Callithrix jacchus: one gene and its partners. The main gene of each other region encodes a partner of the protein of the gene in region 4 in a complex. Links are inferred from orthologs where the notes say so. Each region holds a gene or a part of one and is shown on either strand. Other genes may lie near its edges. The genes, in order: TMEM186, ECSIT, ACAD9 and TMEM126B.

Region 1 (7,698 bases), on a different chromosome or scaffold from region 4:
ATTTCCTGTCCTTGGTGGAGATGTGTGATTTTAGCTCAGGGATAAGGGGTTGAAACAATGCGTTTGCTCTGTGTGCGCTCTGCTGGTACTGCATGAGCAGACCGCACATGGAATACCTGCAGGAGTGAGAATCTGGCATCTCACCTCCCAAGACAAGCCCTTGTAGACTTAACAGCGTGGTGACTTAAGAGTGTGGTGAGACTTCAGGGGCAGCGATGGTCAATCCTGGCTGCATATTAGAATCACCCAGGGAACCGTGAAAATGGAAATGCCTGGTCATGAGCTTCGACAATGGGGTTTTAAAAACACTCTCCAGGAGATTCTACAAATAAGCCAGTGTTAAGAACCTATTCTTTAGGCAGAAAATTGGCCCAGGAACACAAAGTTCACAGAAGCACATAACACTCTGGTGTCTTCTGTTCTAGTTGTTTATTTCAGAAATTCCCAGCCTGCCTAAATCTCAGAATTGGCTTCAAGTGGGTCAAAAAGATAAATCCTGGGGACCTACCCCAGACATAATCAGAATATCCCAGGGTGGGACTCACTCACGTCATTTCTCACAACTAGCCCAACAAAGAGAGAATTTCTGGTTTCAATGAGGTTAAGGTGAAATCATTAGGAATTCTTAAGACATTTTTTAGCCACAGGCTATATATCTTCATGGGAAAAAGATTCACAGTCACTGAAGGAACTGACAGGCAGGTGAAGGTGAAGTATAGAAGGAACGAACAGCCATGTGTAACTGCTGTGTACGCGTCTCTTCTATATAATTGAATCTTCACCATACTTCTTGAGCATAAATAGTACAACCTGTTATACAGGGAAGACACTGAATGGAAGGCAGTTAGTTCTCTTTGCAGGTATCCAGGGAGAAAGCTTTCCAGGCAGACGAACTGTCAATGCAAAGACTTTGAGGCTGGATCATCCTTGATTACTGGAGAACAGCAAGGCCAGCGTGACCTGGGGAAATGATCTCCACAGAGTTGCGGATGAGGGAGGAAAGGGGAGGGTGGATTAGGCCATCAACCTTCATAGCACAGTGAGGTGATTGTATTTTTAAGGATCGCTTTGACTGCTGTCAAAACAGACTGGCGAGTGAGGCAAGATGCAAGCACAGGATAGAAGCATCACAGTGAAAGGCCGGGTGCAGTGGCTGATGCCTGTAACCCCAGCACTTTGAGAGGTCAAGGCAGGCGGATCACCTGAGGTCGGAGGTTTGAGACCAACCTGACCAACATGGAGAAACCCTGTCTCTACTCAAAATACAAAATTAGCCAGGCGTGGTGGCTCATGCCTGTAACCCCAGCTACTTGGGAGGCTGAGGCAGGAGAATTGTTTGAACCCTGGAGGCAGAGGTTGTGGTAAGCCAAGATCTTGCCATTGCACTCCAGCCTGGGCAACAATAACGAAACTCCTTCTCAAAATAACAAAAAAGATATATTTGTTAGGTGTATCTTGCTATGGTTAAGAAAAATGAAAGGCTATACAATAAAATATTGTTACTGACTTTTGAGTGGCGAAATCATAAAGGTCGCGCCTTCCTTCCTCTTGACTGTGTTACGGATTGTATAATGAACATATTATTAATTATGCAGAGCAGTGTATATAACTGGCTTTAGTTTATAAAACAGTGTACCAGCATACGTCCATCTGGCTTTATTACACTGCAGGGCCATCCAAAGCAAGAGTCTCTAGACCTCTGGGTGGGGTTTTGTGCTCACCTGGATGACATCTCTGCTCATTGATGTGTAGTTAACAGTCCCTTCTGGTAGTCCCTTCTGCCGCTGGACATGTGAGGGGGCACAGCACAGAGTTCTGGATGTCGCTAGTGACTGCTCAAAGTCTTTCTCCATGCTGAAACCTCTATACAAATGCTTAATATCTGCTCTGGGCTGTTGAGTCCGCAAAAATTTTGACATTTATTGTTTATTCCCACACCCATCCCATGCAACAAGAAGACTTTCCATTTTATAGATGGAGGTTCAAAGAGGCTCAATAACCTCTTTGCCAGGACAAGTAACAGAACTGAGACTTCTGGCTCCAAATTCTACACTCCCCTGCCACACCTCTTTGCCTTCCCATTTCACAGCAATGGACTGTCTGGGTGACCTTGGCATAGGTTCCTTTAATAACTGGCTCCTAACAGAAACCTCCAGCCATTATCTGACTGAATGTCACACACAAGTGCTATCAGAACTTGCACTTAGCCGGGTGCGGTGGCTTACACCTGTAATCCCTGCACTTTGGGAGGCCGAGGCAGATGGATCAAGAGGTCAGGAATTTGAGACCAGCCTGGCCAACATAATGAAACCCCGTCTCTACTAAAAATACCAAAAAAGTTAGCCAGGTGTGGTGGCGAGCACCTGTAGTCCCAGCTACTCGGGAGGCTGAGGTGGGAGAAGCGCTTGAACCTGGAAGGCGGAGACTGAATAAGCTGAGTTCACACCACTCCAGCTTGGGGAAAAGAACGAACTCCATCTCAAAAAATGAAAAGAAAAAAAAAGAACTTGCATTTAGAGCCTTTTTCCTAAACCTGGACACCAAATCTCACCTTGTAAATTTCTACATCACAAAACACATGTTCCCAGGGGCCCAGGAAAGTCTCCAAGTACTCAATCCCCTTTCTTCAATCTTGCGCACACCCTCGGCCTTCCTGTCAATCCAGGCAACCCAGAATTACCCAGAGGTCCAGCTCCCAGTTGTTTACTTGAATATCTGCAGCGCCCCAAACACCTGTGTGAAACACTCTTTGTCCAGGATGCGTCCGTGGCGTAGGGTAAGGTAGAAGGTCTGTTTCCCACTGTACTGCTGGATACGCATGAACAGCTCCTCAGGGCAGTCCTTGGTTTCTGTCAGGGGTATCACATCTTCCACGGGACAGTATGTGTCCTGCCGCCAGCCCCAGAAGTTCAGGTGGGCCACCCGCAGTATGGTGCCAGACTCGTTCAGATACAGGATGCCAACCAGTCTCCGAAGGAAATAGCTCATCCAGCAGAGCATGGCCAGAGCAAAGCATGACACCCCATTCATGATGCAAAGGGACTTGAGAGTCAGGAGGCCCTGGGAGTACCAGTAATAGCCTGGTGGCAAAGCTATCACTGTCAGGGCAGTCTGTGCCAACTTCAGTCGAGACAGGTACCCGAAGGATCTGATGGCATCAAAACGGTAAAACATCCGGAATTTCTCAGTCTCTGTGTCTGGTGGTTTCTCCTTTGAGGTGGGTGACGTGCTCCCCAGCCACCTCTTAGGATCCTCCTGCCCACTGCAGCACCACCACAGCCCATGGAGAGGCCGTCCCCATGCAGTTTTTCCTGGAAACCTAGGCACAGCTCGGAGAAGGGCAGCCTGAAAGGGAGATAGTAGACCATTTCTCTTATGGAACTCAACCACATTAATCACACGGTAAACATCTGCAAAGCATCTCACTCCAAGGCTTTTGCCAATCCTGCAAGGTCACCATTATTGCCAGAGAAGGAAAGGGTAAAGCCAGATGCTACCTCATGTGAGCAACACAACAGCTACCTAAGATAGGTATCCCTATTTCCACTTTACCACTAGGGAAACTAAGCCCAGAGAGGGTAAGATGTTTACCCAAACATAGTCAGTGAGTGCAGCAGAGTCCGACTCTCAAACCGGGCCTCTTTTCACCAGGCAATTCCAAATAAATATAGGAAAAGAGGTACAGCCTTCATTAACTCACAACCTATCTAGGCAGGACCAACTCTGGGCTGGACAATGGATCCAAAAGGGGTTGTGAACATTTCCCCAAGCAGGATACTAAATAATCAGTGTCTTAGTGGGGAACTTGAGCAACAAATCTGTGAAATATTTATCCCAATAACTTTCCAATTCTGTTTGATTTATATGTCATCTTGGGTGCTAGAGGAAACTGCTGCTTTCTTAGCCTAGTCTGGGGAAGCAGAAATAGCAGAGGAGGAGGAGAGAAGCAGGAAGGCCCCAACACATAGCACAAGGATATTATTAGGTGAGTAACGAGGCAGTAAAAGTTCTGGTTCCGGTTCTGGCTCCAACAGTCACTGCCTGTGGATTCTTGAGCAAATTACTTCCTTCACACCCCTGAGCTTCCGTTTCTTCACCTTTCAAAATGGGGACTCAGAACACAGTGAACCAGAAGATGGTTTAGAGCCCTCAACTTAGTACCTGATGCACTGTGAGAGCCTGGCCAGTTTTAGCGAGTACTACTGCTGCGCACGTGACCCAAGGAGGTCAGAGAAAGCCGGGGGAATGGCGAACTGTAACCCACGCTGAAGCCTCCTACTAGGGATTCTCCGAGTCCGACAGTAGGGCGTCTTGTCTGCCTGCCCCAGCTCTGACCCCGATCCCCAAAACAAGGCTCGTCACCCGCCTCCTTACCATTGTCCCACCGCCTGCTGCCGGAAGTAAATGCCACCGGTCCCCGGAACCTCTAAGAGGGCATGCTCGAACGTACAAGGCGGGCGTGACCGCGTTGCACTCTGGGAGTTGCGGTCCAGGAATCGTGGCTGGCGCTAGTCCCAGGCATTGTGGGAACAGAGTCTCCTCTTCCCGACGTGCCCTGCAGCTCGGGGGCCGAACCCGGAAGTTCCGGGCTGAGCTCCTGGTGCCAACGAGTCTCGTCAGGAGCAGCTAGAAACTGGGGATATGGCAGGTCCCGGCCCAGCGCTCTGCCTCTTCGACGTGGATGGGACCCTCACCGCTCCGCGGCAGGTAAGTGGCGGTAGCAGCCGAGACGGAGCCCGTGCTGTTCCCAGTTGAAGTTATCGACCACCCAGGGTGGGCGCCAAGGGGTAGCTGAGGACCGCAGAAGTGTTCATGGGGGCTGAACCCTACTCGGGGTGTCCTGGAGGAATGAGAGTGAAGCTCTGACCAGCTCTTCAAGAGCTCTTGGTGCTTGGAGAGATGAGACGGGGCTGAAGAACTCCTAAGAGCAAGAAACTTGTGCTGGGTCGGAAAATGCAATCTGGATTCACGGCTGGTCCTCGGGACTGTTGGACCAGGATTTGTACCCGAGATCAAGCCCCCTTTTCAGCTATGTTACAGACATTCTCAGTCCTGTAACCAATGAGCTGTGCCGTGAATAATATTTTTAAAAGGTTTCCAGGTCAAACCGACCTAGTGGAGTCTCGTCTTCACCTCTTGACAGCTGTGTGACCTTGAGCAAGTCATTAATGTCTCTGAGCTTCAGCATCTACAGCTTTTTTTTTTTTTTTTATAGGAGTTTTCGCTTTTGTCTCCCAGGCTAGAGTGCAATGGGGCGACCTCGGCTCACTGCTGTAACCTCCGCCTCACAGGTTCAAGCAATTCTCCTGCCTCAGCCTCCGAAGTAGCTGGAATTACACGCACCTACCGCCACGCCCGGGTCCTACCTCAGCCTCCCAAGTAGCTGGGATTACAGGCACCTGCCGCCACGCCCGGGTCCTGCCTCAGCTTCCCAAGTAGCTGGGATTACAGGCACCTGCCACCACGCCATGCTAATTTTTATATTTTTAGTAGAGACAGGGTTTCACCATGTGGACCAGACTGGTCTCAAATTCCTGACCTCAGGTGATCACTCGCGTCAGCCTCCCAAAGTGCTGGGATTACAGGCATGAGCCACCACGCCTGACCTCATCTTCAGCTTTAAATGGGGATATTACCCCCTGTGCCATATGGTGTCTGTGAGGTTCAGATGAGATTACATAAATTCTTGAAATTATATTGCACATAACACACTAGGCTTCAATAAACAGCCACCTCCACCGCACCCATCTCCAGCCCCTGCAGTGGACTCGGGAAATGGAGGACCCCTAGGTTATTAAAGGCTGCCTGCTGAGACCCACTTTAGGGCCTTGGAAACGTGCTTTCCACTTCCAGATATTGCTGCTGCAGGCACAGATAAGTTTCAGTTACAATCACCCTTGAGATGAGGCTCTTCTGTCCCCTTTTCAGAAATTGGTCACTGCACACCGGCCATTTGAACTTGAGACTGGACCCTAGTGGCCTCACTGTCCTCACTTTCTACCCTCATCCCTCGTAGTTTTTCGCTGGTGGTAATGGTGGTGTGCTCCAGAAGTCCACGTCAAATGCCCATGACCTTAGACATCAGTTGCACTTCTCAGTCACAGGTTTGATCCACCTAGTGCTGACACTCAACTCCCAAGTTCCTCAACGGCTTTTACTGACTGAGATTCAGCAGTCACACACTTGTGTGTTGTTAAAAGCCCATAGTGCAGGCCGGACAGGGTGGCTCACGCCTGTAGTCTCAGCACTTTTGGTGGCTGAGGTGGGTAGATTGCCTGAGCTTAGGAGTTCACGACCAGCCTAGGCAACATGGTGAAACCCGTCTCTACTAAAAAAAAAAAGAAAAAAAAATTACAAAAAGTTAGGTGTGGCCGCATGCGCCTGTAGTCCCAGCTACTAGGGAGGCTGAGGCAAGAGAATTGCTTGAACCTAGGAGGTGGAGATTGCAGTGAGCCAAGATCATGCCAGGTTGGGAAACTGAGGGAGACACCCTCTCAAAAAAGCCCATAGTGGTTTAAAACTGCAGTCCCTGATTCATTTTTATATAGCGGATCCTTTTGTCTTTGCAGACCATATGGCCTATAGTAACCACTCAGCTTCAGTGCACAACCAGCCATAAACCCTATAAAAACTAGGCTGGCCAACATGGCAAAACTCTGTTTCTACTAAAAATACAGAAATTAGCCAGGCATGATGGCAGGTGCCAGTAATCCCAGCTTCTTGGGAGGCTGGGGCAGGAGCTGGGCGTGGCAGCAGGTGCCTGTAATCCCAGCTACTTGGGAGGTTGGGGCAGGAGCTGGGCGTGGTGGCAGGTGCCTGTAATCCCAGCTACTTGGGAGGCTGAGGCAGGAGCAATAAAATTTTATTTGTTACAAAAACCAACAGCTTCCCAATTTGGTCTGTGGGCCGTTGTGGTCTAGGATTTACATTGCCGACTCTTTTTCTTGGTATCACTGGACCCTCTCAGCCTTCCTCCATCTTTCTTCCCAGGTAGAATAGTTATTACTATTGTAAACATAAGGAAACAGACCCAGTGAAGACCAACCTCCTCAGTTTTACATAGCCGACCTTATACAAGTCCCTGGGCCTCAGGACATTGGTTCTTGTCAACTTTGCCAATTCCTGTCCGTGCTAAGGTGGAAGCTGTGCTAGTCAGTGGGTATGCCATTCAGGAACGTGCTTCTGATTTTCACAGTTCTAACTTTTTTTTTTTTTTTTTTTTTGAGAGGGAGTCTAGCTCTGTTGCCCAGGCTAGATTGCAGTGGCACGATCTTGGTTCACTGCAACCTCTGCCTCCCAGGTTCAAGTGATTCTCCAGCCTCAGCCTCCCAAGTAGCTGGGACTACAGGTGAGGGCCACCATGGCCATCTAATTTTTGTATTTTTAGTAGAGACAGGGTTTCACCATGTTGGCCAGGCTGGTCTCTATTTCCTAACCCGGTTGATCTGCCCACCTCTGCCTCCCAAAGTGCTGGGATTACAGACATGAGCCACTACATTCTGAGTCTTAAAGACTACTCCTAGATTTTGTCCAATAGGTCCAGATTCCACTGTGAGAGGTAGAAAAGATTGCACTCTATTACAAACCTGTCTGTACAATTTTATTTATCAAATTCATGTATTACTCTTAAAAAAATTTTTTTTAATCATTGGACTCCAAGTGTTCTTAAACTGAGGTTGAATTAAATGGCTTTTTGTA
Region 2 (7,811 bases), on a different chromosome or scaffold from region 4:
AAGACATATTGGTTGGCTAGTAAAGAGGCAAGATGTGTGAAAAATCAATCAACAAATTAAAATTACACGCCTGTAATCCCAGCACTTTGGGAGGCTGAGGCAGGTGGATCACTTGAGGTCAGGAGTTTGAGATCAGCCTGACCAACATGGTGAAATGCTGTTCTAACAATGCAAAAATCAGCCAGGCGTGCTAGTATGGGCCTGTCATCCCTGCTACTTAGGAGGCAGGGGAATGGTTTGAACCCAGGATGTAGAGGTTACACTGAGCCGAGATCGCACTACTGCACTCCAGCCTGGGCAACAGAGCAAAACTCCATCAAAAAAAATATATAATAAAATAATTAAAAACAAACAAATAAAAATAAATATTAGTCTGTAGTTTTTTTTGTAGTGGCTGTTTGGTTTTGGTATCAGGGTAATGCTGGTCTCAAAGAATAAGCTTCAAAAGGGTTGAATCATTTTTATCACCATTTAAACCTCCACTGGCATCTTTATCACATTTCCTCCTCAGCACTCCACTCTAACCACAGTCTTTGCTGTTCCCAGTGCCAAAAGTGTTCTCCAGATATCCAGATGGCTCACTCACTTCCTCCAGGCCTTTACTCAAAGGCCACCTCATTGAGGCCATCCTGTTTATTTATTTACTGAGACAGAGTCTCGGCTCTGTCACCCAGGCTGAAGTGCAGTGGTGCAATCTCAGCTCACTGCAGCCTCCACCTCCCAGGTTCAAGCAATTCTCCTGCCTCAACCGCCTGAGTAGCTGAGATTACAGGCACAAGCCATGTCTGGCTAGTTTTTGTATTTTCAGTAGAGACTGGGATTCACTATGCTGGTCAGACTGGGCTGGAACTCCTGACCTCAGGTGATCCACCCTCCTTGACCTCCCAAAGTGCTGGGATTACAGGCATGAGCCACTGTGCCCAGCCCCATCTTTTTTTTTTTTTTTTTTTTTGAGACAAGGCCTCACTCTGTCACCCAGGCTTGAGTGCAGTGACGCAATCTCGGCTTACTGCAACCTCGGCCTCCTGGGTTCAAGCGATTTTCATGCCTTAGCCTCCCGAGTAGCTCGGAGTACAGGCACGCATCATCACACCTGGTTAATTTTTTTATATTTTCAGTAGAGACAAGGTTCTACCATGTTGGCCAGGCTGTGCATCTCCCATCTTGACTCAAAGTCTCCCTCCAGCTTTTGCTTCACATCTTTGAACCACTGACTGATTTATTTATTTGAGACAGGGTCTCAATCACTCTGTCATCCAGGCTGGAGCACGGTGTTATGATCATGGCTCACTGCAGCCTCAAACTCGTGCTCACATCCACTGTCTCAGCCTCCCAAGTAGCTGAGACTACCTGTATACGCGACCGTGCCCAGCTAAGTTGTTCAATTTTTTGTAGAAACTGGGTTTCACCATGTTGCCTACGCTGGTCTTGAACTCTTGGCCTCAAACGATATTCCCACCTCAGCCTCTCAAAGTGCTGGGATTACAGGAATGAGCCACCACATTGGACCTTGGTGCCCTTTATAGTAAAGCTTCTTCCAAGAGGTGTCTATACACTATGGCTCCTTCCCGATTCTCCAACTTGGCTGCTGCCCCAACCACTTTGTAAAGACCCCTTGAGCACAACTGCAGTCCTAGCTAACTGGGAGACTGAGGCAGAAGGATGTTTTGTTTTGAGACATGGTCTCATTCAGTCACCCAGGCTGGAGTGCAGTGGCATGATCTTGGCTCACTGCAACCTCCATCTCCTGGGTTCAAGCGAGTCTCTTGCCTCAGCCTCCCAAGTAACTGGGACTACAGGTGTGCGCCACCATACCCAGCTCACTTTTTATATGCTCTAGTGATTCTTAAACTTTGTTCATGTTAGAATCATCTAGGGAGCTTTAAAAAATGCCCATGCTGGCTGGGTATGGTGGCTCACACCTATAATCCCAGCACTTTGGGAGGCCAAGACGGGTGGAACACCTGAGGTCAGGAGTTCGAAACCAGCCTGGCCAACGTTGTAAAACCCCATCTCTACTAAAAATACAAAAATTAGCTGGGTATGGTGGCAGGCGCCTGTAATCCCGGCTACTCAGGAGGGTGAGTCAGGAGCCTCCCAAAGTGCTGGGATTACAGGCATAAGCCACTGCTCCCGGCCCGAATCTGTATTTTAACAAAAGTCCCTGCTATCTCCTATGAGCATTAAAGTTTGAGAAGTGGTGATCTGTGTGCAGATGGCTCCCCAATGTTAATCTCAATCACTGGGGCCCAGCCTCTACACCTAACTGCCACTTTGGCATATACCCACCCATCTCAAACATAATTTGCTCCAAACTGATATCCTTGCTTCAACTTGATCTTCTCCCTCCTAGCCAATTGCACCACCACTGCTAGCCATTCACTACTACTAGCCATTCAAGCCATAAGCCTATGAGTCGTTTCTGAGTCCACTATGTCCCTCACTCTCCCATTCAACCCATCAGCTAGTCTGGGTGACCACTTCCAAATCCATCCCAAATGCACCTCTTTCTATCTGAACCCACTGCCTCAATATATGACTTGGAGACCTACCAAGCCTCCCACTTCTGCCCTTCCTGCCTCCAGTCAGTTCTCCCCACTATGGCCAGAGGAAGCTTTTTTTTTTTGGAGAAAGAGTCTCGCTCTGTTGCCCAGGCTGGAGTGAAGCGGCATGATCTCAGCTCATTGCAACCTCTACCTCTCTCGTTCAAGTGATTCTCATACCTCAGCCTCCTCACTAGCTGGGACTATAGGTGTGTACCACCACAGCCAGCTAATTTTTTGTATTTTAGTAGAAATGGGGTTTCACCATGTTGCCCAGGGTAGTCTCAAACTCCTGAGCTCTAACAGTCCACCCATCTTGGCCTCCCAAAGTGCTAGAATTACAGGCATGAGCCACGGCACCCAGCCAGAGGGAGCTCTTAAACTAAAATTAGTGATTTCACATTTAAAATCAGGAACTGGGCACATTGGCTCATGCCTGTAATCCCAGCACTTTGGGAGTCCAAGGCAGGTGAATCACGGGGTCAGGAGTTCAAGACCAGCCTGTCCAACATGATGAAACCCCGTCTCTACTAAAAATACAAAAATTAGCCAGGCATGATAATGGCACACGCCTGTAATCCCAGCTACTCAGAAGGCTGAGGCACAAGAATCCCTTGAACCCGGGAAGCAGAAGTTGCAGTGAGCCGATACTGTATCAATGCACTCCAGCAAAGGCAACAGAGAGAGACTTTGTCTAAAAAAAAAAAAAAAAAAAAAAAACTATCCAGGCATGGTGGCGAATGCCTGTCATCCCAGGTACTGAAGAGACTGAGACTGGAGGATCCTTTAAGGTCAGTAGTTCGAGGTTGCAGTGAACCATGATTGCACTTGTGATTAGCCATTGCACTCTAGCCTGGGCAACATACTGAAATCCTATCTCTAAAAATAAATAGGGGCCAGGCACAGTGGCTCACACCTGTAATCCCAGCACTTTGGGAGGTCGAGACGGGTGGATCACAAGGTCAGGAGTTCAAGAGCAGCCTGGCCAACATGGTGAAACCCCATCTCTACTAAAAATACGAAAAATTAGCCAGGTGTGATGGCAGGCACCTGTAATCCCAGCTACTCAGGAAGCTGAGGCAGGAGAATCACTTGAACCCAGGAGGTGGAGGTTACAGTGTGCCAAGATCGCACCAGTGCACTCCAGCCCCGGGCAACAGAGTAAGACTCCATCTCAAAAATAAATAGGCCAGGAACAGTGGCTAATGCCCATAATCCTAGTGCTTTGGAAGGCCAAGTGGAGAGGATCACTTGGGCCCAGGAGTCCAAGACCAGCCTGGGCAACATAGCAGAACATGATCTTTACAAAAATTGTTTTAAAAACTTAGCCGGACCTGGTAGTGTGCACCTGTAGTCCCAGCTATATAGTCTCCTGAGGCAGGAGAATCACTTGAGCTGTGGAGTTCAAGGCTGCAGTGAAGTATGATTGCATCACTGTACTCCAGGCTTGGCGAGGAAATGATATCCTGTCTCTAAAAAATAAAAATAAATAAATAAGACAGGGTGTACCCCTCCAAACTCAACTCCTACCACTGGCAGCTTCAGCTACCCTGTCTCTGAAAGAAACTAAGTTTATCCCATCTCAGAACCTTTGCACTTGCTTTTCTCTCTGTCTAGAGCTTTTTTCCTCCACATCTGTCCACAGCTGTCTGCAGTCATTTCAGTGAAAGATCTTCTTTGACCCTCATTAATGCATTCTTTTTTTTTTTTTTTTTTTTTCCTGAGACAGAGTCCCGCTCTGTCGCCCAGGATGGAGTGCAGTGGCACAATCACGGCTCACTACAGCCTCGACCTCCTAGGCTCAAGCAGTCCTCCCACCTAAGCTTCCCGAGTAGCTAGAACTACAGGCAAGCACCACTATGCCCGGGTAATTTTTTGATTTTTTGTAGAGAACAGAGTCTTGCTACGTTGCCAAGGCTGGTCTGGAACTCCTGGGCTCAAGCGATCTTCCTGACTCGATTAATGTATTTTTAGCAACGATCAGTATCTAAAATCACCTGTTTCTTTTATTTCTAATTTGTTCAAAGTCTGGTTCCCCTAAGAGATGAGAGATTTTTATCTATCTTCCTCATTGCTGTCTGTCCAGCACCCAGGACAGTGCCTGGTATATGGTAGGTGCCTAACAAATATCAATCGAACGGAAACAGCTCAAGTTCAACAAAACACCTGTAAATCTGAACCCCGAGGTAGGGTGTAGGTACAGCAGCTCTGAAGCCGGCTGCCAGGATTCTGGATCTCCTGGGGGAAATAGGGAGACATGGATTCCAATTCCTGCCAGGCTGCCGACTTGACGCGTGATCTGAGGCGAGAACTTTAATCTGAGTCAGCTGTTTCATCTGCAAAACGGGAGACTGGGGGCGTGTGGCGGGTGGCCTTTCCCAGCGCGTCCCCACCCCCACTACGAAAGGTCACGGTGCCCTGGCTCTGCAGCTGGGTCCCTCCGGGACTGCTCTCTCGCGCTGCCGGGTCCTGAGGGGCCCGCCTGGAGCCCAGCAATTCGGGTTCGCCTACCTGCTCGGGACCTACCTACTCAGGCGGTCAGCCGCTGACTCCAGGCCGGATCTGTCTTCTTGCTGGGCGCCGCCATGTTGGCCCAGAGAGCGTCCGGGTCAGGGGCCGCAAGGGAGGCAGCAAATCAAGAAAGGCGGTATAATAGATCCCGCCCACAACGCTAGAAGCGCCAATAGGAAGGCGAAGGACCTTGGGCCAGGCCCCACCTCTAAGGAGGTAAGACGCACTCCAGGCCTGGGAACCTTGAAATGGCCCGGGAGGCTGGACTTGGGATGTCTATGAATCCAGCCGCGCGGCTGAAATGAGAAAATGAACTATTAAAGGTTAAAGGGGGCGGCAAGGTGGCTCATACCTGTAATCCCAACACTTCGGGAGGCCAGGAGTTCGAGACCAGCCTAGGCAATATAGCTAGACCCCTTATCTGCAAAAAATTTAAAAATTAACTGGGCATGATGGTGCCTGCTTGTAGTCCCAGCTATTCGGGAGGCTGAAGCGGGAGGATCGCTTGAGCCCTGGAGGTTGAGGATACAGCAAGCCAGGATTGCACCCCTGCTCTCCAGCGTGAGCAGCAGAGTGAGACCCTGTTTCTAAAAATAGTAATAATAAATAGGGCCAAGCACGTTGGTTCACGCCTATAATCCCAGCACTTTGGGCGGCCAAGGCAGGCGAGTCACATGAGGTCAGGAGTTCAAGACCAACCTGACTAACGTGGTGAAACCCCATCTCTACTAAAAATACAAAGTTAGCAGCGTATGGTGGTGGGTGCCTGTAATCTCAGCTATTTGGGAGGCTGAAGCAGGAGAATCGCTTGAACCTAGGAGATGGGGGTTGCAGTGAGCCAAGATCACACCACTGCACTCCAACCTCAGAGACAAAGTGAAATTCCATCTCAAAAAATAAATAAATAAATAAATAACAATAATTAGCAGGGTGTGGTGGTGTGCTCCTGTGATCCCAGCTACTCTGGACGCTGAGGCACAAGAATTGCTTGAACCCAGGAAGTGGAGGTGCAGTGAGCCGAGATTGTGCCACTGCACTCCAGCCTGGGCAACAGGGTGAGACTCTGTCTCAATAAATAAATACATAAATAAATAGGATGGCCTCAATGAGATGGCCTTTGAGTAAAGGCCTGGAGGAAGTGAGTGAGTCATCTGGATATCTGGGAAACGGTTTTGGCACTAGGAACAGCAAAGACTCTGTGTGGTTAGAGTGGAGTCACTGAGGAAGAAATGTGATAAAACGAGATGAGATTGAGTAGTGGGAGCTCCTTGTCTCGCCCAGAAAGAGACAGCTTTCAGCTGTTAATAACTAAGGTGGATAAGCACATACATAAGGGTATTGGCAATAGCAGTGGCCCCAGGGAAGGAAGGTTATCTGCCCTCATAATCCCATTTCTGCAGTCCCTCAGCCTCTGTGGCAAAGCGAGGTGGCAAGGGGGCTAGGATGCAAGAACCTACCCTTAAGATGCCTCAAGGACTCTGCGCAGTCGCAGCACATCCGCCTCATCAGAACTCCTGTGATTGGGCGATCTCAGAAGACATGTAGCCAATCAGCTGCTTGGCTGGAGCACTTCTCCCTGGCAAATTGACAGGCACGTGGGGAGCGACTGGGCGCCCTACTGCCCTCTGCCAGACTCCTGAAGCTACAAACAGGCAGGCAGCTCTGCTTAGCTGGGGAGTGGGTAAGATGATGGAGTTGCTGACCTCTGTGGCCTTCAGAATTCCTGGTGTCCTTCTCTTGAGGTGGTCATAGCTCTTGTTCCTTTTTTTTAATTTATTTTTTAGAACTAGTCTTTTTATTATTATTATTTTTGGAGATGGAGTCTGACTCTGTCACCCAGGTTAGAGTGCAGTCGTGCAATCTCGGCTCACTGCAACTTCCGCCTCCTGCGTTCAAGCAGTTCTGCTTTAGCCTCCGGGGTAGCTGGGATTACAGGCACGCACCACCACACCTGGCTAATTTTTGTATTTTTAGTAGAGACGGAGTTTCATCGTGTTGCCCAAGCTGGTCTCAAACTCTTGGGCTCGAGTGATCCTCCTGCTTTAGCCTCCCAAAGGGCTGGGATTACAGGCATTCGCCACCATGCCCAATCATTATTATTATTTTTTTTTTCTGAGACAGAGTCTTGCTTTGTTGCCCAGGCTGGAGTGCAGTGGCATAATCTCAGCTCACTGCAACCTCTGTCTCCCGGGTTCAAGAGATTCTGCTGCCTCAGCCTCCAAGTAGCTGAGATTACAGGCACACACCACCATAACCAGCTAATTTTTATGTTCTTAGTAGAGATGGGGTTTCACCATGTTGGCCAGGCTGGTCTCAAACTCTTAACCTCATGAGCCATCTGACTTGACCTCCCAAAGTGTTGAGATTATAGGCATGAGCCACCGTGCCCAGCTATTATTATTATTTTAAAATAGAAATGGGGTCTCACTATGTTACCAAGGTTTGTCTCAAACTCTTGGGGTCCACTGATCCCCTGTCTTGGCCTTCTAAAGTGCTGGGATTACAAGCATGAGCTACCACACCAGGCCGGTAGTCTTTTTAAAAACGAGTATGGCCGGGTGCGGTGGCTCACGCCTGTAATCCCAGCACTTTGGGAGGCCAATGCAGGTGGATCACGAGGTCAAGGGGTCAAGACCATCCTGGCCAACATGATGAAACCCCATCTCTACTAAAAAAAATACAAAAATTAGCTGGGCATGGTGGTGTGCACCTGTAGTCCCAGCTACTTGGGAGGCTGAGGCAGGAGAATTGCTCGAA
Region 3 (7,106 bases), on a different chromosome or scaffold from region 4:
CTGGCTGCTTTTCTAGCCTTCCCATGCACCTTCTGCTACCCCCAAAACCCACTGTCTGGCATAGCACACCTAGCAGGACTGACTGCTGCTCCCAGAAAGTCCCTCTCTCTCTCTTCATTCACCTTGTGCCAGCAGATCAGTCTCATCTGGGCCTGGCGCACTCTATTTCCCTACCCTTCAGAACACATTGCCCTGCCCGCCCCCCAGCCCTTGTCAAAGCCCCTTCTTTCTGCCCCTAAGGGCCAGGAACACGCGCTGCAGAAAACTCTGGCTGCCTCTGGAGGATGCCCACTCCCTGCCTCTTTGTACTTGCACTCTGTCATCTCCTTTGGTCAGCACAATCAGAACACAGCACCCAAAGTCTCTGTGGCCTAATTCCCTCCTCTACCACCTGGCACGTGCTAACTGAACCAACTCTTCAGTCTTGTGACTTCATGGAGGGCAGCAACTGGGAATGAGACATGCCAGGGCTAGCAGAGCCCTTGAGAGCCAATCAGAGCATGCAATCCAGCCCTGGGCTGTGGGGACCACTTCGGAGACCTCTGCAAGGCCCTGAGCAGCTTCTTTAGGACCAGGCAAGGTGGGGGTGGAGAACAGCCTAGCTGGTAGCAGGGCCACTCACCTCGAAGATGAGGAGGATGCGGGTGTCGCGCAGCATGCGCTCGTACACAGAGTCCCTCATGTAGCCCAAGCCCCCAAAGATCTGCAGCGCCTCATTCACACACTGCCAGGCAGCCTCAGAGCTGAATACCTGTGGGCCCAGGGCAAGGTCAGCACGGGATGTCACACTGATTCCCTTCCAAAAGGAGGACCTATGCTACAGGGATCTGGGTGGCTGGGGAGGCATGGGAGGCACCCAGACTTGGGGAGGACATCAGCCAGGGAGGAACTCGAGGGGTGATGTGGGCAAGTCCTTTGCCTTCCTTGACCACACTGGCCAGCTTGTGATCCCCACCCCACCATGATCTTCTGGGCCCACCTTCACCCCTCTGTACCTGGCTGAGCTCCTCTTTCTTTAAAACCCATTTAACATCTTCCCTTCCCCAGAAAGCCTGACCTGTTCCTGCCCAGCCCTGGTGGCATGACTTCCTTCTGTCTCCGCACACTATGAGCACCTTGGGGGCAGACATACTGCCATATTAAGCTCTAGGCTTAGCATATGGAAGAGGCTGGCCCACAGCAAGCTAATGTCTGTGGTCACTGTTCATGGGTGACAAGACGACGAGGTGATACAACACATGCAAATGCACCCAGTATGCAGGCTGCAATGAGAAAAGACTCAAATGCCACCCAAGATGCCCAACCTTTTTTTAAAAATTTTTTTATTTTTTTTAGGGACCTTCCCACTTCAGGATCCCAACCTTATAGGTAGACTCACCTGCTGATACCAGAATGTTCACTTCTCTAAACTGCTATACCTCTCACCATTTCTCTCAGGAGCTCAATTCCAGCTTAAAAACAATTGTTGGGGGCACCAAAGTAGGGTCCCCCAAAGGGTAGCCATCTTTTTTACACAGCGAAAAATGATACCCTCCACCGTGAACAAAACAAAAGCAACAGAAAACTCTAGTATCTACCTCAACCAAATAAGATAATCTTCCCACCTCAGCCTCCCAAGTACAGGTGTGTACCACCACGACAGCTGATTTTTGTATTTTTTTGTAGAGATGGAGTTTTGCCATGTTGCCCAGGCTCGTATACTTAGTTGTTTTTTTTTTTTTTTTTGAGATGGAGTTCACTCTTGTTGCCCAGGCTGGAGTGCAGTGGCACGACCTCGGCTCACTGCAACCTCTGCTCCCTGGGTTCAAGCGATTCTCCTGCCTCAGCCTTCCAAGTGGCTGGGACTACAGGTGCCCGCCACCTTGCCCGGCTATTTTTTTCTATTTTTAGTAGAGATGGGGTTTCATCATGTTGGCCAGGCTGGTCTCGAACTCTAGACCTCTGTGATCCACCCACTTCAGCCTCCAAAAGTGCTGGGATTATAGGCGTGAGCCACCATGCCTTGCCATATATTTAGTTTTTAAGAGGACGTTTTGAAACCAAAAAGTAGGAAGGCCATAAATTAAGGAAAAAAGTTCTTCTCACAAAAGCCAGCTGCAATGTTATTATTCTAAAAGGACGTTAACAGAATGGTCTCCTTCTGCTATAAACTGCTGATCCACTGGCAAAAGCTTGGTAGAAACTGCACTGTGGGAGCATGGAGCCTTCCTACAAACTGCTGCTCACCAGTCACTTCCCTGCTGCTGCAGCTCCCCGCCCACTGCCTGTCTATCCCTGGAGTGCTGCACAGGGCTAGTGCATCATAAATACTGGATCAATGACAGGAGGAAGATGATAGGCAACAGCATAGGCTTGAAAGGTCACAGTGAGGGAGCTTTCCCAAGCCTCCCTCCAGCGCCAGCTCTCTGGCTATGCCACTGTTACCTTCACCATGGCCGCCTCAATGGAGCAGTCGGGAAAGCCCGGTTGGTCTAGCATCCCTGCTGTGAGGTAGGTCATACTCTCCATGGCATAAGCCTTCTGAGCCATCAGTGCAAACTTCTCCTGGAGTATTCAGAAAAAAACACAAGAAGCAATTTGCATGTGCTGAGAGCCAAATCTTCAGAACAGGAGAGAAGGTAATTAAGTCAGAATCCTGAATGCCCAAGAAAAGCAAGCCCAGCGACCCTTGTTAAATAAAGCCTTAACTAGTCTTCTTCCCAAATCACCACAGAAGAGTCACCAGTACAGACATCAAAAGAACACAGTCATGTCACACAGTGAAATCCACAAAGACAGCACTCAACTGTCTATACCTGAATCAATCCAAATTCGCTGAGTCTCTTGTTAAACTGTTTCCTTGTGCAGGCATACTCAGCAGTCATTTCTGAGGAAGAGCAGAGTCATTAGAAAGAACTGGAACTTTTGTTATTGAAACATAATTTCCTATGGCCATCATCCTTACCCTTCCCACAGGCAGGCACTATGAGAAGCATGTCTGCTGAGATCAAATGCCCCAGAAGCTAGTAACTCCACTTGTCAGCACCCATGGGTCAGAGGAGAACCACCCCTCCTAATGGAATCTACAGTTTAGCATCAGATACAGACTTGAATCCTGGCAATGGTTCTTACAGCCAGTGGCCTGGGCCAAGCATGTCACCTCCCTGAAGATGCAACCAGGTGGAAGGCAGAAGGCTCCTCACACAAAGCCAGGCACAGAAGCCCCAGAGAGAGGCGGTGCAGGCCCAAACCCAGCGCACAGTGCTCCTGACCAAAGCAGGTGGGGCTGCCCGGCTTGAATACTCAGGCTGGGACTTCCAGGCATGTGGTTGTGACCAAGTGCTGAGCTCTGAGGGCCCATGAATTAGATGGCGCCTCTCCCAGGCAGAAGCACCTCACCACCACCACCTGCCGCCCGTAGCTATGTTCTCCACAGGCTCTCCCAGGTGTGGCGCACTCAGGAGGTGAACAGGGCTGAGTTCCCCAGAGGACTTGCAAGTGAGAAAAGCCCTGAGCCTGGAGCCTGAGAGCTTTAGTTTTGGGTCCAGTTGCCCTCTCTGAGCCTCTGTCTTCTCATCTCTAAAATGGAGGTAAACCAAAACAAGTATGCCCATCTTGGCCCAAAAGAGGCCGGCCCAGAGCCTGGCATCCAAAGAGGAGCTTCATAAAGCACTTAGGGATGTGCCATCCCAGGCATTCCCATTTCCTCACAGATGCTTCCACAACAGACAGGATGGTTACAGGGTTGTTCTAAGCTCACTGGCAAAGGAAAATGGAGGTTTCAGGTATCCTGACAGAACAGAACAAAAAAAGATCCAGAGGCCCAGGGACCTGGGTTCCAAACCACTCCCCACACACCATGCAGTCACTGAGGCAGCGTGAACCTTGGGCACCAGAGGCCATGTGTCCTGGGAGCCTGGCTCATGGTACGTGCTTACCAAGCAGCTCTGCCCCTATTCCTCTCGCGCCAGACAGAAAGCCCCTTCCCCCATCCCCATCCCGTGTGGAAGTGAAACAGAGGAATTCGAAGATAACCAATTCAGGGGCAGGCTGAGGAGACCCTCTGGTCTCCACAAAAGCCCATGGACGGAGCTCAGGCTAGACCCTCAGTGGAGGTGGCCTAGTTCAGCACCAGCCTGGAAGTGGCCGGGGGAATGGCAGAGCCTCCAGGGATGGAGCCGGGGCAGCAGGAAGTGGAACACAAAGGGTCTTGTCCCTGACTTACCTACCAATCAATCTCTTGAGCATCCCAGCCACAGCGCTGCCCATACTGAACCGGCCACTGTTGAGGATGTCCATGGCCACCTGCAGGGAGAAAGGGAGAGCCCAGGGGCCCTGAAGGAGGCAGGGGGAGGAGGCCATAACCACACGTCTACCTTTACCAGACCAGGCAAACGGATCAGCTTGCCTTCCCTCGGGCTGGGAGAAAGCACTGTCCTAACATCTCGGAACTAAGTAGTTCACTCACAGTTGCAGCTCTACCAATGTCCCCGCACACAAGAAAGACCACTGAACGTTATTCCAAAGGAACATGCCAGAGCTGGGCATGGTGGCTCCCACCTGTAGTACCAGCATTTTGGGAGGCCAAGGCAGGAGGATCACTTGAACCCAGGAGTTCCAGACTAACTTGGGCCCACTAGAAATTCTACATTTAGGTATAAAGCAAAATAACTGAAAACATATTTCCACACAAAAACTTGACATGAATGTTCATTATTGATAGCAGCCAAAAGTGCTAACAACCCAATGCCCATCAGCTGGTGAATGGATGAACAAAATGTGCTATCTCCACTCAACAAAAGATAATTTAGCCATAAAAGGAATGAATTACTTATTCATGCTACAAGAGAGATGAACCTTGAAAACATCACACTATGTGAGAGAAGCCTGTCACCAAAGACTGGATCTTGCATATGACTGTATTTCTATGAAATGTTCCGAACATGCAAATCCATAAGGACATAAAGTAAAAGAGTAGCAGCCAAGGGATGGGTAAGGGTCTTACTGGACAGTACAACGTTTCTTTATAGGATAAGGGAATGTTCTGCAATTAGGCACAGGAAGTATTTGAACAACATAGTGAATATACTAAAAACCACTGAAATACACGTTTTAAAATGGTGAGTCCTTTGTTATATGAATCATCTCTTGATAAAAATATTTCATTTTAGTCTAAAAAGAAGAGTAGGGCAGGGAGGGAGATACACAGCTTGAGCTTCACCAGAGCCCACGGGTTTCTTTCTCACACCCGCTGTGGAAGGGGATCCTAGACTCTGCTCGAGGTGAAGAAAGATTCCCAACTTTACCACATACTCCTCCTAGGAGCCAGCCAATTTTCCAGTCTCCATTTCTGACTTCCCAACAGATAACCATGCAAAGTCACCTGTCAAGCACAGGCTGCTCTGCTACAAGCAAGGATGGGGCAAAAGCTGGGGGCCGACAAGTCGCGCTTGAGACACTACACAGTACTGGCTGGCAACTCACCTTAAACCCACCTCCGACCTCTCCAAGGACGTTTTCCACAGGTACCTTGGTGTCTTCAAAATGGACTTCGCAGGCTGAAACACATGAAATTTAAGATCTCATCTGACAATGCAAACCACTCTGCATTTGACCTGCAAAAGCAGGCAATTCATCCATCCGCCCGTCCGTCCAACATTTGGTAGGAGAGTATAGAAAGACAAAGTTCCTGCCTTTGTGGAGTTCATACTTTGGTTAGGGAGATAAACTATAAACAAAACAATGTAATATTGTCATCAGTGCAATGGATGAAATAAACAGGGAAACACGGTAAGGAGAAATGGAGGTTGGCAAGGGGATGGATAATATTTTTACTAAGGGCTATGTCAGACTTTTGTAAGGTGGCATTTAGCAGAAGTTTAAAAAATGAAAAGAGCCAGGCATATAAAGAGCCAGAACAAGCAAAGCGAGGGAGAGAACAGCATTTCCTAGGGTCTCAGGGTAGACTGAGACCACTGGTGTCAATTCTTAACTCTAACACAACCACACCCCTGCAATCTAACTGTAGCACTCTCCCACTGTGGGGAGGGGTAGACCTCCCTCCCGTTCCCTGTCGGCTAGGTATGACCATGTGACTTGCTGTGGCCACTGGAATAGAGCTGAGTCAACACAAACAGAGGGCTTAAATGTGCTTTTAGGGTCGGGTGTGGTGGCTCATGCCTCTAAAGCCAGCATTTTGGGAGGCAGAGGTGGGAGGATCACTTGAACCCAGGTGTTCAAGACCAGCCTGACAACATAGCAAAACCTCTATTTAAAAAAAAAAAAAAAAAAAAAAAAAAGGTGGCCAGGCACAGTGACTCACACCTGTAATCCTAGCACTCTGGGAGGCTGAGGTGGATAGATTGCACCTGAGCTCAGAAATTTGATACAAGCCTGGGCAACATGGTGAAACCCTGTCTCTACAAAAAACACAAAAATTGGTCAGGTGTGGTGGTACACACCTATAGTCCCAACTACTTGGGAAGGTGAGGCAGGAGAATTGCTGGAACCCAGGAGGCAGAGGTTGCAGTGAGATGAGATCACATCACTGCACTCCAGCCTGGGTGACAGAGGGAGAATCTGTCTCCTCCGACAAAAAAGTACTTATATGGTTTGGCTTGGCCCCTTGGGTCTGCTTAAGAATAAGCCTCCAGATGGACCTAAATCCAACCCACAGCCTGAAGCAGGCTGCCAGGCACCTGCAGACTGAGACAACTCAAGGCTGGGGGCTGTAAGCTGAGCTCTAAGGTGGTCTGTCCACAAGGGCTGCCACAGTAGGAGATGACCACCAGGCCTTCAAGTGAGCAGCACTTGGCTGTGGGAACAAAGACAAAGCCCATGTGGCACTCTTAATTTGATCTTTAAAATGCTTAACAAAAACTGAAAGTATTTAAATCTCATTTTGTCTTGCTATTTGGACAGAGTCAAAGACCAGTCTCTCCCTCCCTCCCTCTCTCTCTCTCTCTCTCTCTCACACACACACACACACACACACCCCTGAATGCTATTTGGACACAGTAAAGAGCAAGTCTCCCCCTAACACACACACACAACCACACACACACTCTACTTACTGTTGGAACCCCGAATGCCTAACTTATCTTCAGGTTTCCCATTAGTGACTCCAC
Region 4 (7,906 bases):
TTCTAATAAGAGGACATGATTCTCTTTCTGAGAATATTTAGAGTAGTTCTAAAATAGAGCTCTTTTAAATAATTTTGGCCACAAATAAATATAAATATGTTCCAATGTAGTCAAATTTTATGAGCTACCCAAATCCAAGAGTACCTTTTCTGTGACTAAAAAGATTTACTTTAAGTTCATCTAAAAAAAGAAAGCTGTTTACATTTGGTTAGGCCTTCCATTTCTTCATTAGTCCAGATACATTTAAAATAATTTGTCCAAGATTTTACAAAACTTCATCTAAAAAAATCTGATCTAGTTTTCTTATTAAGACCCATAGCTATGGCCGAGCGCGGTGGTTCACGCCTGTAATCCTAGCACTTTGGGAGGCAGAGGAGAGTGGATCATGAGGTCAGGAGATCAAGACCAACCTGGCTAACACCGAGAAACCCCATCTCTACTAAAAACACAAAACATTAGTCAGGCGTGGTGGCATGCACCTGTATTCCCAGCTACTCAGAAGGCTGAGGCAGAATCGCTTGAACCCAGGAGGCAGAGGCTGCAGTGAGCAGAGACTGCGGTGCACTCCAGTCTGGGTGACAGAGCAAGACTCCATCTCAAAAAGAAAAAAAAAAAACAAAACCCATACCTAAATCCAGAAACTAAGATCAATTGTCCTTTGATTTTATTATTGAACTCTGTTCATTTAAAAGTCCAAATGGCCAGTTTGGCCAACATGGTGAAACAATCTCTACTAAAAATACAAAAGTTAGCTGTGTGGTAGTAGTAGTACATGCCTGTAATCCCAGCTACTTAGGAGGCTGAGGCAAGAAAATCACCTGAACCCAGGAGATGGAGATTGTGGTGAGCCCAGATCGCACCACTGTACTCCAGCCTGGGTGACAGAATGAGACTCCATTTCAAAAAAAAAAGAAAGTCAAAATGGTAATGTGACACTGTATTTATACCACGGAATCTGTATTCCCTTTTGCTGTACTAAGTACTGTGACTGAGATAATCAATCCTAAACTGATTATAATTATTCACCAATTAAATATAAGCCCCCCCAAAGGATTTTCTCCTAATTACTTTTAATTAAAATATATTTAGTACATAAATGTTTTAGCAATACTTTTGGATACTTTTAAGAAACAAAAGAAATTATCCACAAACCCAAATATTCCAACAAACCACTATTTTCATCTCTTCTTGTTTTCCCCATTCTTTTTTTAAAAGATGTGTTCTTCATAACCAACACAAAGAACAGAATCTTAGATAACAGAATAAATAACAAAGAATTGGATCTCAGAAACAACGGCAATATAAAAAACTTGCAAATAAAATGACTGACTTTCAGCCTGGGTATTTCTCTTACATTTCTTTTTTAAGACATTCATATTTTTTTTCTATGATTTCTATGATCATTGGTCTTCTGAGTTTTGCGTCTTCTAGAAAAGGACTCGGCTGACCATGCATATATGCTGTCATCTTGACATCCTGGAAAAGAAAATTCCAGAGCCATAATAGCTAATGATGTTAATATTAATAATTCCTTACAGAATTTATAGATTCAGATTTAAAAACATTTATAGTTTAGTAGTGTGCCAGGTACTATGTCAGCTGCTTTCACATACTTTATGTTAATAATTCAATCAATATTTAGTGAGTTCTTATTATCTGTTAGACACTGGCTTTTTGTTATATATATTTTTTCTTGCTAAACACCCTACAATGCACAGATACTGGCTTTCTGATTCACACACTAACCCAAGAAATTGGTAGTATGATGATTATCTCTATACAGATGAGAAAACTGAGGTTCTGAAAGGTTCGCTTGCCTTAAGATTTAGTGTAGAAGAATGACATACTGATACTGTTTCTGTTTTCCTTAGTTTTCTCCTCTCCTGATTCCAAGAAGGTAGTCAGGCCCTTTGTAGTTGTCCTAGTTCTTCAGGTGGGGAAGTGGAAACAGTGGCTGCTTATTGACATCTTTATCCCCAGTTTCTCATGAAAGACTGCGCTTATTTTGGAAATAGTGCTGTATTTCCTGGAGAGGTAGCAGAGAGCAGGGATTGCCTTGGAGAACAGCGAGAGAGAAAATCAGAAAGAGGGGCACTGCTCCAGAAAGGGAACAGGCAGTGGATGGTGGCTACTACTTTGGAGTACATAAATTATATATCCCGTTCCCTATTAGCATCTGTGGTGGAAGCAGAGCCTTTGTGAGAAATGGGCATGTGCCAGAGCAGAGGCCCATGGCACTGGGCTCCTCGGTTGTAAGGTTCTTGTGTCCTAAGTGTGATAAATAGACAGCTGCCAATGTCAAGGGACCATGAAGATTTGGCCAGTAGCATCTTAACAGAAACTAGAGAGGTTAAAAAACAAAACAACAAAAAAGCAAACCCTGCACTCTCAGACAGGATCCTTTCTGAAGTTTTGCTCTGGGCAAGACTCTACGGTCTCTGTGAAGTCTTAATAACATTTGTTAAATCCAAACATGTGGCTGCAAATGTTTACCTACTACAGCAGCAAGTGGAAGGTCTATTGATGCTAAGTTCACTGCTTCTTACTCTTTTTCATCTGGATTAGCCAAACAGCCTCTTCACAAATTTACACTAATCCCAATTTTAATGTTTATATTAAAGGCAAATACTAAATCTCAAATTTAAGGAGTCCTAGGCAAGAGAATTAGAGTGGATGAAGCATAATGAACACAGAAGATACTTAATAAATCAGTGGTTCTCAACCTTCAGCATGCACAAGAATCATGTGGCGTATTTATTTGAAATGCAGTCTCATGAACTCCCTCCTGAGATAACTGGATTCCGTAACAGTAGAATGAGGCCTAGACTCTCCATTTTAATAGCACCAAGGGTTTCTGATGCTGTAGTCAATGGACATACGTTGAATATCACTGTAATACTCATTTGCTGAATGAGCAGTATGTTCCAGTCCTAACTATAGAAGGGCCAGCTAATTATCCACAGCTCCTGCTCCTGGCATCAACATACAGAAGGTATGGGCTCCTTTGAACTTTCTCATGGTGTTACACAGGGAGTAATAATGGACCAGTTTCTTTCTCTGCATCATTGCACAACTGTACTCGATCTTTTTCTGTAACATTTCTGGAGAGGGCAGGGGGAAAAAAGGTAAAATATTTTACAGATTACAAATTTTCAGGGACTAGACTTAATCTTTTGCCTCTCCCTGACACCCAAATGTAAAGTATAAGAGATAGTAACATCTAAGGGAGGTTGTATACCTAACCCATCTATTGTACTAAAAGGGCAGATGCCAATAACATGAGTAACCATAAACCTTAGATAAATTTTTGTTTTGCTCTCATCCAATTCATTGAAGTCCCCCACCTCCCACCAAAAACGAAAAACAAAACAAACTTTCAGGCAACATCCTCTACTAATCTCCTACCTAGTCTACACCCTAAAATCTCTATAGGGAAAACACCCAGGATTATGATTACAGGACAGCAAATACTAAATGCTGAAAACAACACAGGAAATATTTATTAAGTGCTTAAGCTTTCCAAGGCACTGTCGAAGATCAACTGCTTTCATTACACCCCTCCCCTTTTAAGGCCACTCAACTAATCACCACATTTATACCAGTAAGACTGCATATATGTAGGTTTATAGTTTGCAAAGCATTTGACGGTTTTGTAGTGCTTTCAGGTTTATTATTTCACCTAAACTTTAGAATTTCATTGAATGTTCGCTCATCATTTAGGGAGTACCTGGTATATGCCAGGCCTCCCGGTAATCCCATCCTTGGGAATCCACAATGTAGTGAGGGTTTAGAACAATTTAAACGCAGAATGAGAGAGCGACATAAACAAAAAACCCAACAAACCAAGAAAAGGCAAACGATCTAGCCAGAGGAAGCATGGGAAGGCTTCCCCGAGGAAGTGGCATTTAAACCAATGCCCGAAAGAGAACAATTTGCCACAGGAGTTGGGATGGATAGAAGCAGGAAAATATTCCAAGTTGAAGAAAAGGCCTTTGCAAAGACCTGGAGACAAGAGAAAACAAACTGCAGATAATGAGGACTTGACTTTAGGTCTTCTACGTTCTCTCCGCCTCTTTCCACAGCAACTGGAGACTTAAATCGACTGCTCCTTGCATGGACTTGGGAGCTGTGTTCTTTAACGTTTCAAATCTCCTTTACATGTATCATCTTAGAAGAGTCTGCCAACACTTTGAAGCTGCAGAAATCACCCCCACTATACCACTTCGGGTTTCCGCCTACCTTGGGCGCTTCCTCAGCTCCCACCGGCTCCACACCTGAATCCAACTTAGCCCCAGCCTCATACCCGAGCGCCGCCATTTTGATGACTCACGTGACTTGCAAGGGGGCGGGGACCCAGAACGCCCTGGGAGGGAAGTGGTGCTGATTTACGGCTCACGCGTCTCGCTTGCAGCCCGGGCCGGCCCCCACTCAGTCAAAAGCCGCGCCCTCCATCCTGACTGTGATTGGGCGCGGAATCTGGAAATTACGGCCACTCATTTGCTTAGAAGAGGTCCAGATGCCTGCGGGCCCGCCCCGCTCGCCAGCCGAGTATTTCCTCCTCTTGCTATTTGTCAGTCTAGCTACCGCCTCTCCCCGCGTCCTGCGGGTAAGATGGGGCGGCCCGAATTTTGGAATGTTGCTGCGCTCCTGCCTCTCCTCAGGGCAGCTCTGTTAGCTGGGAACTAGCTGCCTGCCCCTTTCAGTCCTTGAGGGAACTCGCCCCTTTGACCTGGCCTGTGTGTTAAAGCTCTGCTTCTCGGGCACCTCCTCCTCAAAACCCCCAACCAGCAGCCGAATGCCGTCAAAGCAGCCCCGACTAGCCTCCTCCCCTCTCAGCCGTCTGACTCCTCTCCCCAGTCTGTAGTCCCCTCATTTCCATGCTTAAGCCCCGCTTGGAAAGAGACCGTAGAGAAATTTGCTCCCTACCCCCCGAGAAGACCCGTTTGTCAGCCGTGTCTTGGGGTAGGGGGCACTGCAAGGCCTGACGCTATTTTGTGCGCTTAAATGCCCAGCAGTATCTCCCAGACCGGCAACCCCCGACCCTCCAGTCTCCATATCTTAGAAAAGCCAAATTCGAGAGTTATATAATTTCTAGTGCTGCTGTTGCTCCTGCCTGAGGAAACACTTCATCGCGTGAAGGGTGCAGGACATTTCAGTGCTCTTCCCTAAAAGAACGGGGCTTGGGCAGGGGTGGCCAGCGGTGTCAGAGAAATGTCCTGTCTTTTCTGCAAAAGGAAGGTGGGTAGTTTGAAGAGAGATTGAGAGAAAAGGTGGATGTGAAAACCAAGCAGCTGCACTTTCTCATTTAGGAAATCGCGGACCGTTTGCATAGCTTATGCTTACATGTCTAATACTACTACGGCGTCTCTGAAAACACCTCTGGGAGAAGGTTTGGCTTCTCTTGAAGTTTCAGTGTTTTTCCTTGCCGGATAGGGAGCTGCTTGTATGCGAAGAGATGGCATAATGTGAATGACTCCAGTGTGAAGAAGTCTCCTTCGCCAACTCATCCTGCATCAAGTGCCCATTGAGTAGCACTGTCACTTTAATGTCTCCATGCCAAGGGATTGCTTTCCTTTTTTTCAATCCTCTTGGTTAATACATGGGAGGATCAGAATCAGAGGGGCATTAAAGGATCAAGCCTGGGGGCTTGGAGAGCACAGAAGAAAAAAATGAAAGTGACAGCAGGCTGGATCCTGAGTTACTGAGAGGGTGAGATCTGAAACTTCTGATCAGTAAATAGAAGGGGGCCTTTCAGTGTGTGTTCTGCCCCAGAAAGCTGTTCAAACTCACCTACCTTTTTAGAGACTGGAGTCAAAGAGGTTTTTAAAAGTATTTTTTGGGAGGTGGGGGTTAAATTTTTCTCTACAGATTTGGGGATGCTTATCATCATCTTTGAATTTGACCATGTATAAAGTAATGAGACAGCTGTGTAAATTTGGTTTGTGCCTTAATTGAGTTAGTTATTGAACTTCCAAAAATGTTGCTGAGTGAAGAGGAATTTCAGTAACGTTTTTTATGTTTACAATAATTTTCCCAGTTTTTAAAAACAGTCTAAAAATTGAAAAACTTGAAAAACTCAAAAATTACTTTTCTGCAAACTCTGGGCAGTGTATGAAGTTTAGTTGTGGGAAAAATACATCATTATTTTCTTTGTCTGACATAGAAGACTCAGCCTGGATTTCAAAACTGATCAGTGAAGTGTTTTGCAACAGTTACCTGGCTCTTGGCCTCAATCCAGTTGGATCAAACTGAGACTTGAAAAGAGATCTTGAATCCTGTGGCAGTGAAAAGACCCAAGAATGCCAGTCAAGAAGAAAGGTGGGCTATGAGGTTCCTATATAATATTTCTCCCTTTTCTTGGTTCTGGTACTTGTAATTTAAATTATATTCCATTTGAGAGTAAAGTTTTTCTTCAGTTGGGGCTAATGTTTATTGTAATACAGTTTCATTGGTACATCATTCAGTAATATTTTGCTAAAGTAAAAGGAAGTAGGAGTATAGTATTTATTGATAGACATTTAAATTCATAAATCAGGTTGTTTATATTACCATTTGTAATAAGAATAGATTTATTACCGCAGATTTGGAATCTTCTTTAGCTGGTTTTCTTAGCTTGTTAAAGGTTACTTTTAAGCAGTCTTTAAAAAAGAAACTTGTACAGTGGAGCTCTTCCTTATGGGTTTAATGTTTATCAAGCTAATTACAGAGTTGAGAAAGATAGCAAAGTAATTTAGTTTGCACTGAACAAAATTATAGCTTTATCATTTATCTTTTGGTTAAACAATAGACTTCTTATTTGGATTTATTTTAGTGTAAATCTTTACTTTTATGATAAAACACAACTTCCATGACTATTGCGCTTTTCCAGATACATGCATTATCCAATAACATGACTGGCAAGTTCCCCAAATGGGGTGAACACCAATTTTTTTTCCTTCCTCCTCAACAACTTTTATTATTTGAATTGATCAAGATCTAGTGAATTCCTAAAGCATAGTTGATTATAATCCGACCTTGGGAATTCAATTTAGCTTAGATGTACTCCAGGTTAACTTAGTTCGAAAGGATTCTAGTTTGGGACTTGTTTGCCAAACCAATTTAGCAGTTTGGTGGTATTTTAATTTTGTTTTGTTTTGATCCGATATGAAAGATGAGATCAAATGTAAAGAGTTTCTCAAGAGTTTTGAATCAACATTTATATGAACATCTTTGAACTCTGCTGCACTGGGCTAATACAGATCCAAATGTTGTCCAGTTACATGAGTTGGTTCAATATGAAACTAAAGCTCTGGGTGAATTGTTGGGTAAAGTAAAACTTATGTCTGCATATTGTTTAATTCTTCTACCTGTGGATTTGTTAGGGATGTTGAGAAAAATTATAATCACTGAGATGCCTTATCCAAGTTTGTAGAGACGGACAATGTTATATAAAATTTTGGAACACCTAGAATTGTGATTTTTGCACACTGAGATTTAAGATTGGGACTGTTTCCTCTCCCTGCTGTTTCTAATAGTACCAGTGACAGAAGTAAACTCTCTCTGAGATTTTGAAGCCACACCTGTTCAGATCAGACAGAATTGGTTTATCTACAACAAGAATGGTTTTGGGAATGTAGCCAATAAATGATACGGCTCTTTGACTTATTTAACTTGATGTGTGTTTTTATTCTTTCTACCATTTCTGTAGAGAGTTTCTTCTGTATTACCTTAATTTGAACTAATAATGAAATTAAATACATTGTGTGTGTGTGTGTGTGTGTGTGTGTGTGTGAGAGAGAGAGAGAGAGAGAGAGAGAGTGAGAGAGAGAGAGGAAAAGAGTGAGAGGGAGAGAGAATGGGAAGGGGGAAGCAGAGAGAGGGATAAAGGATAAAAAGGTATGTGGGAAGGAGGAAGAGGAAGCTCAAT

The links.
Region 1: TMEM126B (region 4) and TMEM186 share a complex: the UniProt entries of both Homo sapiens proteins name them as parts of the mitochondrial complex. The link is inferred for Callithrix jacchus from reciprocal best matches to the Homo sapiens genes TMEM126B and TMEM186.
Region 2: TMEM126B (region 4) and ECSIT share a complex: the UniProt entries of both Homo sapiens proteins name them as parts of the mitochondrial complex. The link is inferred for Callithrix jacchus from reciprocal best matches to the Homo sapiens genes TMEM126B and ECSIT.
Region 3: TMEM126B (region 4) and ACAD9 share a complex: the UniProt entries of both Homo sapiens proteins name them as parts of the mitochondrial complex. The link is inferred for Callithrix jacchus from reciprocal best matches to the Homo sapiens genes TMEM126B and ACAD9.

What each region holds. Positions count from the first base shown.
Region 1 is NC_133513.1:11,043,959-11,051,656, forward strand, and holds TMEM186 (transmembrane protein 186), read right to left. Parts: upstream 4,403-7,698; 5' UTR 4,378-4,402; coding exon 4,375-4,377; intron 3,346-4,374; coding exon 2,704-3,345; 3' UTR 415-2,703; downstream 1-414. Other genes in the region: PMM2 (phosphomannomutase 2), read left to right, coding at 4,642-4,707. UniProt on the Homo sapiens protein: As part of the MCIA complex, required for efficient assembly of the mitochondrial complex I.
Region 2 is NC_133523.1:10,665,471-10,673,281, forward strand, and holds the start of ECSIT (evolutionarily conserved signaling intermediate in Toll pathway, mitochondrial), read right to left. Parts: upstream 5,155-7,811; 5' UTR 5,070-5,154; intron 1-5,069.
Region 3 is NC_133516.1:73,259,587-73,266,692, forward strand, and holds part of ACAD9 (complex I assembly factor ACAD9, mitochondrial), read right to left. Parts: coding exon 7,053-7,106; intron 5,538-7,052; coding exon 5,464-5,537; intron 4,285-5,463; coding exon 4,209-4,284; intron 2,867-4,208; coding exon 2,796-2,866; intron 2,545-2,795; coding exon 2,425-2,544; intron 752-2,424; coding exon 623-751; intron 1-622. UniProt on the Homo sapiens protein: As part of the MCIA complex, primarily participates in the assembly of the mitochondrial complex I and therefore plays a role in oxidative phosphorylation.
Region 4 is NC_133511.1:54,663,159-54,671,064, forward strand, and holds the start of TMEM126B (complex I assembly factor TMEM126B, mitochondrial), read right to left. Parts: upstream 4,331-7,906; 5' UTR 4,318-4,330; coding exon 4,240-4,317; exon of another isoform or gene 1,477-4,239; coding exon 1,355-1,476; exon of another isoform or gene 1-1,354. Other genes in the region: DLG2 (disks large homolog 2), read left to right, coding at 6,300-6,318. UniProt on the Homo sapiens protein: As part of the MCIA complex, involved in the assembly of the mitochondrial complex I. Participates in constructing the membrane arm of complex I.